Linked DNA regions of Oryctolagus cuniculus. The protein of the gene in region 3 purifies or fractionates together with the protein of the main gene of each other region. This does not show direct contact. Links are inferred from orthologs where the notes say so. Each region holds a gene or a part of one and is shown on either strand. Other genes may lie near its edges. The genes, in order: NUP214, NUP88 and NUP62.

The links.
Region 1: the proteins of NUP62 (region 3) and NUP214 purify together in Homo sapiens (affinity purification with mass spectrometry; 5 studies listed by BioGRID and IntAct, with this or other methods). This does not show direct contact. The link is inferred for Oryctolagus cuniculus from reciprocal best matches to the Homo sapiens genes NUP62 and NUP214.
Region 2: the proteins of NUP62 (region 3) and NUP88 purify together in Homo sapiens (co-immunoprecipitation; 4 studies listed by BioGRID and IntAct, counting the BioPlex papers as one, with this or other methods). This does not show direct contact. The link is inferred for Oryctolagus cuniculus from reciprocal best matches to the Homo sapiens genes NUP62 and NUP88.

The regions. Positions count from the first base shown.
Region 1 is NC_091432.1:233,665,198-233,668,840, reverse strand, and holds part of NUP214 (nuclear pore complex protein Nup214), read right to left. Parts: intron 2,892-3,643; coding exon 2,696-2,891; intron 2,107-2,695; coding exon 1,955-2,106; intron 1-1,954. UniProt on the Homo sapiens protein: Part of the nuclear pore complex. Has a critical role in nucleocytoplasmic transport.
Region 2 is NC_091448.1:50,941,353-50,945,571, forward strand, and holds the end of NUP88 (nuclear pore complex protein Nup88), read left to right. Parts: coding exon 1-27; intron 28-1,470; coding exon 1,471-1,629; intron 1,630-1,859; coding exon 1,860-1,985; intron 1,986-2,069; coding exon 2,070-2,135; intron 2,136-2,252; coding exon 2,253-2,333; intron 2,334-2,764; coding exon 2,765-2,891; intron 2,892-3,026; coding exon 3,027-3,145; intron 3,146-3,404; coding exon 3,405-3,468; 3' UTR 3,469-3,628; downstream 3,629-4,219. UniProt on the Homo sapiens protein: Component of nuclear pore complex.
Region 3 is NC_091449.1:7,675,455-7,679,097, forward strand, and holds the end of NUP62 (nuclear pore glycoprotein p62), read left to right. Parts: coding exon 1-1,614; 3' UTR 1,615-3,357; downstream 3,358-3,643. UniProt on the Homo sapiens protein: Essential component of the nuclear pore complex. The N-terminal is probably involved in nucleocytoplasmic transport.

The DNA.
Region 1 (3,643 bases), on a different chromosome or scaffold from region 3:
TGGGATACAGGGAGCCAGATCTCAAACCAGGCACTGACGTGGGATACAGGGAGCCAGATCTCAAACCAGGCACTGACGTGGGATACAGGCTTCACAGCCTCCGCCCCGATGCCCAGCCCTTGGCTCTGCTCTTTCACAGCGCCGGGACCTGGGATGGCTACTTAAACTCTTCGTAGTCCACTTCTCCATGGGTAAAATGAAGATACCGGTACCTACTACGTAAGACAGGCAGGAATGAACATGGACGAGGCATATAAGGTAGCACAGTGCCTGGCACAGAGTATAAACACTCACCATTACTGACTGTTATTCTTAAACTGCCTTAGGAGACCACAGTCCCACAATGTAACAACTTTTAACATTCTCTGTTAGACCCAAGACGTGGGAACTTCTGACATTATCCATTAATTTTATGGCCTTGGGCAGGCCACCCTAGCCTCTCGGGCTGGCTGTCTCATGTGTCAATGAGAAACAGCATTGCCTTGCGCAAGTGGTGTATGAAATAATTTCTAGAAGCCCTTTCTGTCTTCTAAGTGGGGCCAGCGCTATGGCGCAGCAGGTTAAAGCTGCAGCCTGCAGCACCAGCATCCCATATGGACGCCAGTTCAAGTCCCGGCTGTTCCACTTCTGATCCAGCTCTCTGCTATGCCCTGGGAAAGCAGTAGAAGATGGCCCAAGTGCTTGGGCCCCTGTACCCATGTGGGAGACCTAGAAGAAGCTCCTGGCTTCAGATCAGCTCAGCTCTGGCCATTGCGATCATTTGGGGAGTGAACCAGTAGATGAAAGACATCTCTCTCTTTCTGCCTCTGTCTCTCTGTAACTCTGTCTTTCAAATAAATGAAATAAACCTTTTTTAAAAAGGACTGAAGGCTGGCGCCGCAGCTCACTAGGCTAATCCTCCGCCTTGCGGCGCCAGCACACCGGGTTCTAGTCCCGGTCGGGGCACCAGATTCTATCCCGGTTGCCCCTCTTCCAGGCCAGCTCTCTGCTGTGGCCCGGGAATGCAGTGGAGGATGGCCCAAGTGCTTGGGCCCTGCACCCCAAGGGAGACCAGGATAAGCACCTGGCTCCTGGCTTCAGATCAGCGCGGTGCGCCGGCCGCAGCAGCCACTGGAGGGTGAACCAATGGCAAAGGAAGACCTTTCTCTCTGTCTCTCTCTCTCTCACTATCCACTCTGCCTGTCAAAAAAAAAAAAAAGTAAAAAAAGGACTGAAGTAAGCATTTGGCACAGTGGGTAAGATGCTCTTTGGAGGGGCCAGCACTGTGGCGTAGCAGGTAAAAATGCCACCTGCAGTGTCAGCATCCCATATGGGCGCCAGTTCGCATCCTGGCTGCTCCACTTCTGTTCCAGCTCTCTGCTATGGCCTGGGAAAGCAGTAGAGCAGTAGAAGATGGCCCAAGTCCTTGGGCCCCTGCACCCATGTGGGAGACCTGGAAGAGGCTCCTGGCTCCTGGCTTCGAACCGGCTCAGCTCCAGTCATGGCGGTCATTTCGGGAGTGAACCAGCAGACGGAAGACCTCTCTCTCTCTCTGCCTCTGTAACTCTGCCTTTCAAACAAATAAATATTAAAAAAAAAAAAAAAAAAAAAAAAAAACCTGCTCCTTGGAAAGGTGCAGCCCTATCGGAGTGCCTGGGCTGCAGTGCCAGCTCCACGCTAACGTGCATCACGGGCAGCAGGGGTGAAGGCTCCAGTGCTTAGGGCCCTGACCCACGTGGAAGACCCACACCGAGTTCCTGCCTCCTGGTTCTGGCATGGCCCAGCCCCAGCTGTGGTGAACATTTCGCCTTTTAAAGAAAATTAAAATTGTAACTAAATAATACACACTTTTTAAATCCATATTTTAGTCTTGAAAAACAACTGCAGGCATCAACCCAAGAAACCTCTCATCGTTAATTCCAGGTCGGGAAACCTCAGCTCCCCACTTCGACACTCCAGCTTGCTGGCGGCTTACCTCATTTGAGAACGTGCGGACGTCAAAAAAAGTGATAATGGAACCATATTCACTGGACATCATGCACACGGAGAGAGTGAGGTTATCACAGCTCAGGGCCAAGTGATGGATTGGAAATTTCATAGGAACTAGCAAGCTTTGGACCTTATCAACTATGGAAACAGAAAAAGACAATGCAGAAAACACGCTCTAAGCATAGAAGCACAACGCCTTTATCCAAGTCAATGTGAAACAATTTTTGCATCTACACATATACCCCAAAACCTAGTTAGGAAGATAATCATAACTTTCTTAAATAGATACATGATGATGCTGTAAGTATCCAAGGACTCCTCCTCATACGACCTTGGGAGTCTAACTTTGGCTTCTAACCTTGTGGAAAACATTTGTGCAACAATGTTCCACATAGCACACATTCCCAGGTGTTTGCATGGTACTGTGCCAAGGAGAAACCCAGGTGATAAAACCCTTTTCCTGGAGCCAGAAACCTAGTTGAAGTAAGCAAAAATAAAAGCACGGCCTAATGCTAAGTTCTTCCTCCTGCGCTCAGAGGACGCTCACTGACACAGACATACAAAGGACCGAACCACAAGGCCTGCGCACCCCACCCAGAGCTTCCTCCTGGGAGCCAACTGTAGGCTCAACAGCAGTGCTAATCTTCATATTATTCCTGGGAAGAACACACAGCAGTACATCACCACACCCCCCTCCTGACGACGTAACATAAGTCAGAGAACTTACCTATTTTATTGGGATCATCTCCAAGTTTATTTTGAATAAGAAGATTTTTAGTAGGGAAAACTTGCAACCCACTGGCTCCGCCAGCAAAGACCAAACCGTACTTGTTGGACACGGCAAGCAGACTCGAGCGCTCCTTGGGCAGCTCCTCGGGAGAATCAAAGATCCTCACCTTTCTCAGGGCTCTGAACTGAAAATCCTGTTGAAAGGGTCAAAACAAGACCAATTCAGGGTAAACAGGAAGTTAAATCATGTCAGTTGTTATTTTCTTAGACTCAATTTCAGTACACCAGAAACGTATATTGCAAAGGCCAAGAGCCATCTCAGTTGTTTTTAAAATGTTTTCATTAACTTGAACAAAATAAATGAAAGAAAAAACACCTTCCACAAAGCATCCTTTGACTAATCCAGCTGACACTGATCTCCTTTTCTGAGTTCGTATTATTGTCTGAATCACCACACGACCTACGCCATAACCTTGTCCTATTTCATGGCATGGACAGTCTCATAACCCAACAGCGTGCTAACCAATTATTGCTAAATACTGAGAGCATCACCAGCTACACTGCAGTGCTAACTTCCAGGGCAGTAGTCAGCAATGCACACTGAGAAAACTGCAGGAAGAAGACCAAACCCCAGAGCTGGCTTACTCTTACAAATGTTCAACAAAATTCCATCGTGGAAAAAGGACACGGTGAATCTCCTGGTGTTCATGACCTTAAAGCAGAAGCTAGATGCTGTGAAATACCTGAAACAGGAGTCCAAATCCCCTAACACAGACTGCCAAGACCAGGCACAACTCAATCCAGCCAAAGCTGCAGCGTCCCCTCACGACTCTGCCTCCCTCCATAAGGGCTCACTGCCTCTGCCAGTCCTACCAACCCTGCCGTCTCTGCCATCCATTTTCACGCTCCCTAATACCTTGGAGCTTTTAGAGGCTACTGGCCCGAA
Region 2 (4,219 bases), on a different chromosome or scaffold from region 3:
TTACGAGTGCCTCATCCGGCCTCTGCTGTATGTCCTGTTACTCACTCTCGTTACTTCTGCACAGCTGGGGAATGGCCGCAGTAACTGGGTTCGCCTTATGTACACCGTGTATGCCCGGCTTCTAACTAGAGGGTTGCAGAGGTGGACATTTCTGGACGTTTTCATTTTAGGTCGTTTCTGGCATCTTCCTCTAGCTGAGAAAACAGCTCTTGTTAATACTAAAATAATAAACTGCATTATCCCGATGAATTAGATTTAATGACTGGCAGTAGTCTCAGCCTGACGGTGTGCCAGCCGAGAGCTAGTTCTCCACCTGCACTGCCTCCTGGAACCCCACAGCAGCCTTGTCACCCTCGTCCCCTGAAGGGCAGTCAAGGCCAGGAGGCAGCAGATGCAGGGCCGACTCACTGGGCGTCCCACTCACGCTCCGTGTCACCGCCTGCCAACCTCCGTAACTGGAGATGGTCTGAAGCCGAGCTCGGTCTTGGTTCCAGTATGAAGCTTCTCTGAGTTTTAGGAATGCAGAAAGAAGAGTGGACAGCAGATGGCATGGGCTTCGAGCAGCAGGCCCCGCCCGCCCGTCTCCCCATGCCGGTTCAGCCTGCGCTTCTAGATACTGGGTGCCAAGTACTGGTCCTCACTGTCCTCAGAGGATCTCTATCCTCTTTTAAGATTGACAAATTATGATATTTAGAAGGGAAAATGAATAATTGATGTGTTATACCAAAAGACAAAACTCTAGCATGGCTGAAAAAAAAACATTTGAAGTCACTGGGAGAAAACTGCCTACTTCCAGTGCTTCAGCTATTTTTAAAAGCCTCATCCCCTTTAACAAAGTCTAGTTGTGACAGGCGACTTCCAAATAGAGAACGTGAGTCTCAAAGGGGGAAATGTTCTGACGTCATCAGGTCACCCTCAAACCGTGTTTTTGCTAATCCCTGAAATACAGGTTGTCTACAAAATGGTATTTTCTTTACAAATTTGAATCATTGCCTTCAAAAAAGTCACTTAACCTACTGCCAAAGTTTGCAGTCTTTCAGATTCTTTCTGAAATTGCCTCTGCAAATATTTTCACTTGAGTGGATGTAATTTCTAGAATTCAAGGTGTATAAAACCAAGTATATTTGATTTAATAGCTACCTGACTTAGTGCTGGGTCTCATCAAATCCATACCTAGAAGCGAGCATTCGCTTCTGTCTGTGGCTCCGGCTCCCCGGCAGTGCCCTGAATCAGTGTCTGTTTTGTGCTGCTTTAATCTCGGCAGACAGAATTGCAGGTGGGCAGAGTGCCAGCGGCAGCACTGGTGGAGAAGCGTGTGGCTCCCTGAGCTGAGCTCCGCCAGTCAGAAGACGTGCATTCTTGGGGTGCTGGGGAAGCCACACTGGACCAGAGTGCCGAGTCAGCACGGCGTGTGCACTCCTGTGGTGCCTGCGTCAACTCTGTGGCGCTGCTCTTCTGTTCCTTTTGCAGAAGTACTGTCCATCCGGCGTCTCCGCCCCTGCTCTGTACCCGAGAGGACGCCGAAGTGGCCGCGTCTCCCCTCCGAATTCTGGCCGAAACTCCGGATTCCTTTGAAAAACACATCAGGAGCATCCTGCAGCGCAGCGCCGCCAATCCGGCGTTCCTCAAGTACGGGATCGCGGGGGCACGGTCTAAGAGGGCTTGCGGCCTCCTTGCGCGTCAGCATGTCAGACGTCCGCTGGGCGGCGCTGAAGAGACGCGGGCAGGTCCGAGGAGCCGGTGATGGGGCCTGGCTCCTGAGAATGAGAGACAGTGTTAGAAGGGAGGAGCTGGGACTGGGGACCGTGTTGCGTGGTGCTGCTTGCTCAAGGAAAGTCACGCGGGAACTTTGTGTCTAGGTCGTCTGAAAAGGATACGGCCCCTCCTCCGGAGGAGTGTCTGCAGCTCATCAGCAGAGCCACGCAGGTGTTCCGGGAACAGTACATCCTGAAGCAGGACCTGGCAAAGGAGGAGATTCAGCGGAGGTGTGACCGGCTGTGTTCCCAAACCTGAGGCCGGGTCACGGCACAGGCCTAGCCTTTGATTAAACTTTCTTTTTGTTCTTAAAGGGTCAAATTATTATGTGACCAGAAAAAGAAGCAACTAGAAGATCTCAGTTACTGCCGGGAGGAGAGGTGAGCGTCAAGACGGGGAGAAGGAACCAATCCTGAGAGTGGAGCTGTGTGGTCGCCCCTGGACGCTGAGCCCCACCGGCCAGGGAGGCCCAAGTCTCTTGCTTTTTATGCCATTAGGAAAAGTCTGCGTGAAATGGCCGAGCGCTTAGCTGACAAGTATGAGGAAGCCAAGGAGAAACAAGAAGACATCATGAACAGGTCCGTGCCCGGGCACCAGCAGTGTTAAGAAAAGGGCCCGCCTAGTAGGTGCTCACAGACCTGCGCGGGGTGGAGTCGGTAGGATCTGTAGGTAGGGCGATGAGGGGCACGTATCTGGGGCAGTGCTTGCATGACGGCGGCAGCTGGGAGGTCCCACCACAGGCCGCCGGCAGGCTGGATCCCTGGTGTGGCACCGCTGTGCCCGAGCGCCCTGGAACCAGGGAAGCCGAGGGTGTCGGCCTCACCGCGCAGTGCAAGGCCTGGCTGTGCTCTCCCACCTTGTGTAGTGGGTCTCTGCAGACCCCCAGCCAGTCGACGGTGCCCACCAAAGCCGCGGTGGAGAGCCGGGCCTGGCCAGCTCCTGTTTGTGACTGTGTTTCTCGTCAGCAGCGGCGCGCTAGAGCTGAGGCGTCCGCTTACCTCCCCTGCAGGATGAAGAGAGTGCTTCACAGCTTCCACTCTCAGCTCCCCGTTCTCTCCGACAGCGAGAGAGACATGAAGAAAGAGCTGCAGCGCATTCCTGAGCAGCTCCGCCATCTGGCCAGTGCCATCAAACAGGTAGCAGCTGCGGGCGGTCTACGTCAGCTCTGCACAAAAGTAACTTTATAACATATAAAAAGGACAGACTAAAATAAGAGACTGAAAATACATGGCAAACCACAGCCACGGCCCGCTCCTCTGTCTGCTCCTCAGGTCACCATGAAGAAGGACTACCAGCAGCGCAAGATGGAGCGGGTGCTGAGCGCTCAGAAGCCCAGCATCACGCTCAGCGCCTACCAGCGCCGGTGCATCCAGTCCATCCTGAAGGAGGAGTAAGTACCCGGCCCCGGCCCCGGCCCCCGTGAGCAGGTCAAGTGGTTCCTGGGCCAGGGCTGGGACACGGCGTGCAGGGCTGGGGAGGCCACTTCCCCGCTAGGAGGTGTGTGGTCGAGGGTTTCCCAGGGAGCGCGTGCGCAGCGGCCCCGCTGTGCTCCGGAACACTCGAGTTCACCATGACAGCGGAGACCGTCAGGAACCCCTACTACGGACTCCTGGTTCTCAAAGCCGTGACAGTCATGGTGACTTTCACAGGGGCGAACACATAAGAGAAATGGTCAAACAGATCAACGACATCCGGAACCACGTGAACTTCTGACGCCGCAAGGACCAGAGTCAACTGAAGGCCGAAACCCACGCTGTAGCGCGGACAGCACTAATTTATAAACAGGCATTTTAGATGAATTTTGGTGTGATGGTTCATTTTTTAATATTTTATTTGTTTTTTAATTATTGAATAAAGGCTTTTATTTTAAAAAGTGGAATGTCTGTGATTGCTAAAGTCCTGAGACAGCCTTTGGGCTGCACACCGCGAGCTCGCCACAAACACGACCGCGTTCTTGGCCTATCTGAGCAAGCACACGAGCTGTGTGTTTAGGTAGCAGCACCAGAACTGCGGCTCTGAAGAGACAAAGAGGAGGCCACACGGTGCAGGGGGCAGCAGCTTTTTTAATTTGAACACTTTCTGGTTAAGGACACACCTTCAGGACAGTTCACAAACGGCTACACCCGCAGTTTGCTCGGAACAGAGCCCAGGAGCGCAGCCGCAGAGGCCCGTGCCCGCGCACTTCCTCTCAGAGCTGGGGCCAGCTGCGCTGCGTGCAGCAGTCGCTACCGAGTGGCTGCAGGTTCCCCTCAAGGGAGGAACGGCGTGCTCTGCAGTCTGTGTGGTCTGTCCTCGGGCTTTACGTCCTCTTTCTGCTCGCCAGCGTGAGCTCCGAGAGGCAAAGCCGGGCCTGCCTAGAGTGCCTCAGTGACGCCAGGTAACAGCCACGCAGTAAGGGACGTTACAGGTTCAAGGTAAATCAGGCTAGTTCTGCATGAGGACACGATTACAGACCGAACATAAG
Region 3 (3,643 bases):
TCAGGTTGGCTGTGGGAGCCGGAGCAGCTGCTGCCGACCAGAGCTGGAGCCATGAGCGGGTTTAATTTTGGAGGCACTGGGGCCCCCACAGGCGGGTTCACCTTTGGTACCGCAAAGACAGCAACCAGCACCACGCCGGCGACGGGGTTCTCTTTCTCTACGTCTAGCTCTGGCGGGTTTAATTTTGGGACTCCCTCCCCTGCGGCCGCGAGCACCCCTTCCACCGGGCTGTTCTCTCTCACGACCCAAGCGCCAGCAGCCCAGACCCCGGCGTTCAGTTTTGGCACCACGACTCCCGCTTCCGGAGGCACCGGCTTCTCCCTAGGTCTCAACGCCCCGAAGCTGAACTTGGGCAGCACGGCGGCCACCTCAGCCACAGCAAACCCCAGTGGCTTTGGGCTCGGCAGCAGCACCCTCACCAGTGCCACGTCGGGCACCGTCACCTCCAGCCAGGGCACAGCTCCCACCGGCTTTGTGTTCGGCTCTACCACCACGCCTGCGGCCCCCGCCACCACATCCGGAGGGTTCTCCTTCACCGGGGGAAGCTCCTCGCAGACGGGGACGTCTGGCTTCAACATCGGCTCCGTGGGGAGTTCGGCCACCCAGCCCACGGCGCTGACCGGGTCTCCCTTCACCGCAGCCACGCCAGCGGCCACGGGGGCAGGGCCCAGCCAGCCGGCCGCGCCCACGCCCGCCGCCACCTCCAACGCTGGGCCCACCCTCTTTGCCTCCATAGCCGCGGCTCCCACCTCATCCACCGGCACGGGGCTCTCCCTCGGTGCCCCAGCGACCACCGCCGCGGCGCCCGCGCCTGGGACGCTGGGCTTCACCTTGAAGGCCCCTGGAGCAGCTGCCGGCACCTCCACGGTGACGTCCGCTGCTGCCACCACCACCACCACCACCACCACCAGCTTCGCCTTGAATCTAAAACCTCTGGCGCCGGCCGGGGTCCCCAGCAACACGACGGCCGCCGCGAGTGCTCCAGCGGCCCCCAGCGCAGCCACCGGGGCGGCCGGCAGCCCCGCGATGACCTACGCGCAGCTGGAGAGCCTCATCAACAAGTGGAGCCTGGAGCTGGAGGACCAGGAGCGGCACTTCCTGCAGCAGGCCACCCAGGTGAACGCCTGGGACCGCACGCTCGTCGAGAACGGCGAGCGCATCACCAGCCTGCACCGCCAGGTGGAGAAGGTGAAGCTGGACCAGAAGCGGCTGGACCAGGAGCTCGACTTCATCCTGTCGCAGCAGAAGGAGCTGGAGGACCTGCTGAGCCCGCTGGAGGGCTGGGTGAAGGAGCAGAGCGGGGCCGTGTGCCTGCAGCACGCCGACGAGGAGCGCGAGAAGACCTACAAGCTGGCCGAGAACATCGACGCGCAGCTCAAGCGCATGGCCCAGGACCTCAAGGACATCATCGAGCACCTGAACACGTCCGGGGGCCCCGCCGACACCAGCGACCCCCTGCAGCAGATCTGCAAGATCCTCAACGCGCACATGGACTCGCTGCAGTGGATCGACCAGAACTCGGCGCTGCTGCAGCGGAAGGTGGAGGAGGTGACCAAGGTGTGCGAGGGGCGGCGCAAGGAGCAGGAGCGCAGCTTCCGCATCACCTTCGACTGACGGCCGGGCCGGGGCCGCGGCGCTCCCTGGTGGCCGGGGGGGCCGATTCTCTGAAGCGATTGTGCTGTGGAGAGAAGTGTTCTGTGGTTTGACTTTGCCCGCCAGCGAATGCGTAGAAAGTGTCCCGAGCGCCGCTGGGCGGGCGGGCAGCAGCCGGTGGGCGGCTCTGTGTCTGAGTCCTGTGTCTTTGGCCCCTTTCACCCACTGCCACCCACCTCGCCCTCCCCCGACAGAGGCGCTGAGGCCGGAGAGGAGAGGCTGCCGCCGGCCGCTCTGCCCAGCACAGTGGAAGTGCTGAGGTGGGCAGGCTGCCCTCTGCCCCGTGTGGGGTTTAAGCCGTGCGCTCCGCCCAGACACACTGCTCCCCGCAAGGAGGGGCTGCTCAGCTGAGGCGAGGCCCAAGCCCGGGGGGCTTCCCTGTGCCCGCTCCCCGTCCAGGTGGGCCCTCGGGCCTCCCCTCTTCCAGGGCGCCGCCCCGGCCGGCCCCATGGCACACTGAGCCTGTGCCAGGGAGGACTGGCTGTGCGTCTTGTGCCGACTGTTGGCCCCCGTCTCACTGGTAGACTGAGCTCCCGGGGGCAGGGACTGACTCTGTCCCCCTTTGTCCCCAGCACAGTCCCAGTCAGCTTTGCTGAATGAGCAAAGGACGAAGATGAAACCTGGCGTAGCGCTGGTCCACCGTGTTGCCTGCTGCGGTGGCCGCGGTGGCCACGCAGGGGCCCTGAGCCCCGCCAAGGTCCCCGTGTCGCCGCCCAGTGTCCTGTGTGTGTGCTTTGCATTCTCTACGATAGCCACGCTGTGTGTCGCCTTCCTGAATAAAAACATGAACAGCTGCCGTGCCTGTGTAACGTCAGGGTGAGGCGGTCGAGAGCGAGCAGCTCCCAGAAGCCACCGTGCTGGCGCCCTCCGGCCGACAGGCGCGAACAGTCTTGGGTCTGTGCTGACCTGTGGGTGACGCGGGCGCTGGCACCGCACTGCCTGCCCTCGCCCCGGTGGAGCAGCCTCCGTTCCTCCGCTGGGGCTAGCTGGAGGGCTCGGGCGGAGAGGCGACTCCCAGGTGCGGCCCGGCCAGCTGCTGGGAGCTCTCCCTCCTCCTGGGGACGGGGGTCCCGGCCCCTTGGCCTCACCCGCTCCATGGCTCACACCTCGGAGCCCTGTGGCCCATTTTCTAGAAGCTTCCCAAGGTCAAGATCACAAGTCATTGTTTACGTTGAACCATCTGGGGCCTTGAAGGCCAACACAACTTTGCAGGCAGCAGCCACAGAACAGGGAGGAGGAAGACCCCGCCAGCCTCCGTGAGCGCTGCTGCCCTCTCCCGGCCTTGACCACGGGGAGGGCCCGCGCTCCTGCCCTAGAAAAGTGGTCTGTTTCCTGCCTGCGTTTTTTCATTCGACATCCGTGGAGCAATGTTACTGAGCCCGCGAGCTCAGATTGTCCCTGTCAAAGGCCACACAATCTTCCTAGGGGGAAAAAAATGGGCATTTAAAAAATATATGCATTTGAAAGAGTGACAGAGGGAGAGGTTCCCCCCCCCACCTGGGTGGCAGGGACCCCAACACTTGGGCCACCATCTGCTGCCACCCCAGCTGCCTTCCCACTGAGCAGAGAGCAGTGCCATGGGTACCGGATGCCGGCGGCACGGGCAGCGGCTGGCACCTGTGCCACGACGCCATCCCAAGCGTGCTTCCCTGGTGTGCGTGTGTATATACTCCCGTTTCACATATTAAACATGAGTAAAACTCAGTTGCTTTCCTTTATTTTATTTTTAAAGATTTTATTTATTTTATTTGAGAAATAGAGCCACAGACAGTGAGAGGGACAGAGAGAAAGGTCTTCCCTCCACCAGTTCACTCCAAATGGCCAGAACTGCGCCGATCCAAAGCCAGGAGCCAGGTGCTCTCTGCCGGTCTCCTACACAGGTGCAGGGCCCAAGGCCTGCTCTCCCAGGCCACAGCAGAGAGCTGGATCAGAAGTGGAGCAACTGGGACTAGAAGTGGCACCCATGTGGGGTGCCGGCGCCGCAGGCGGA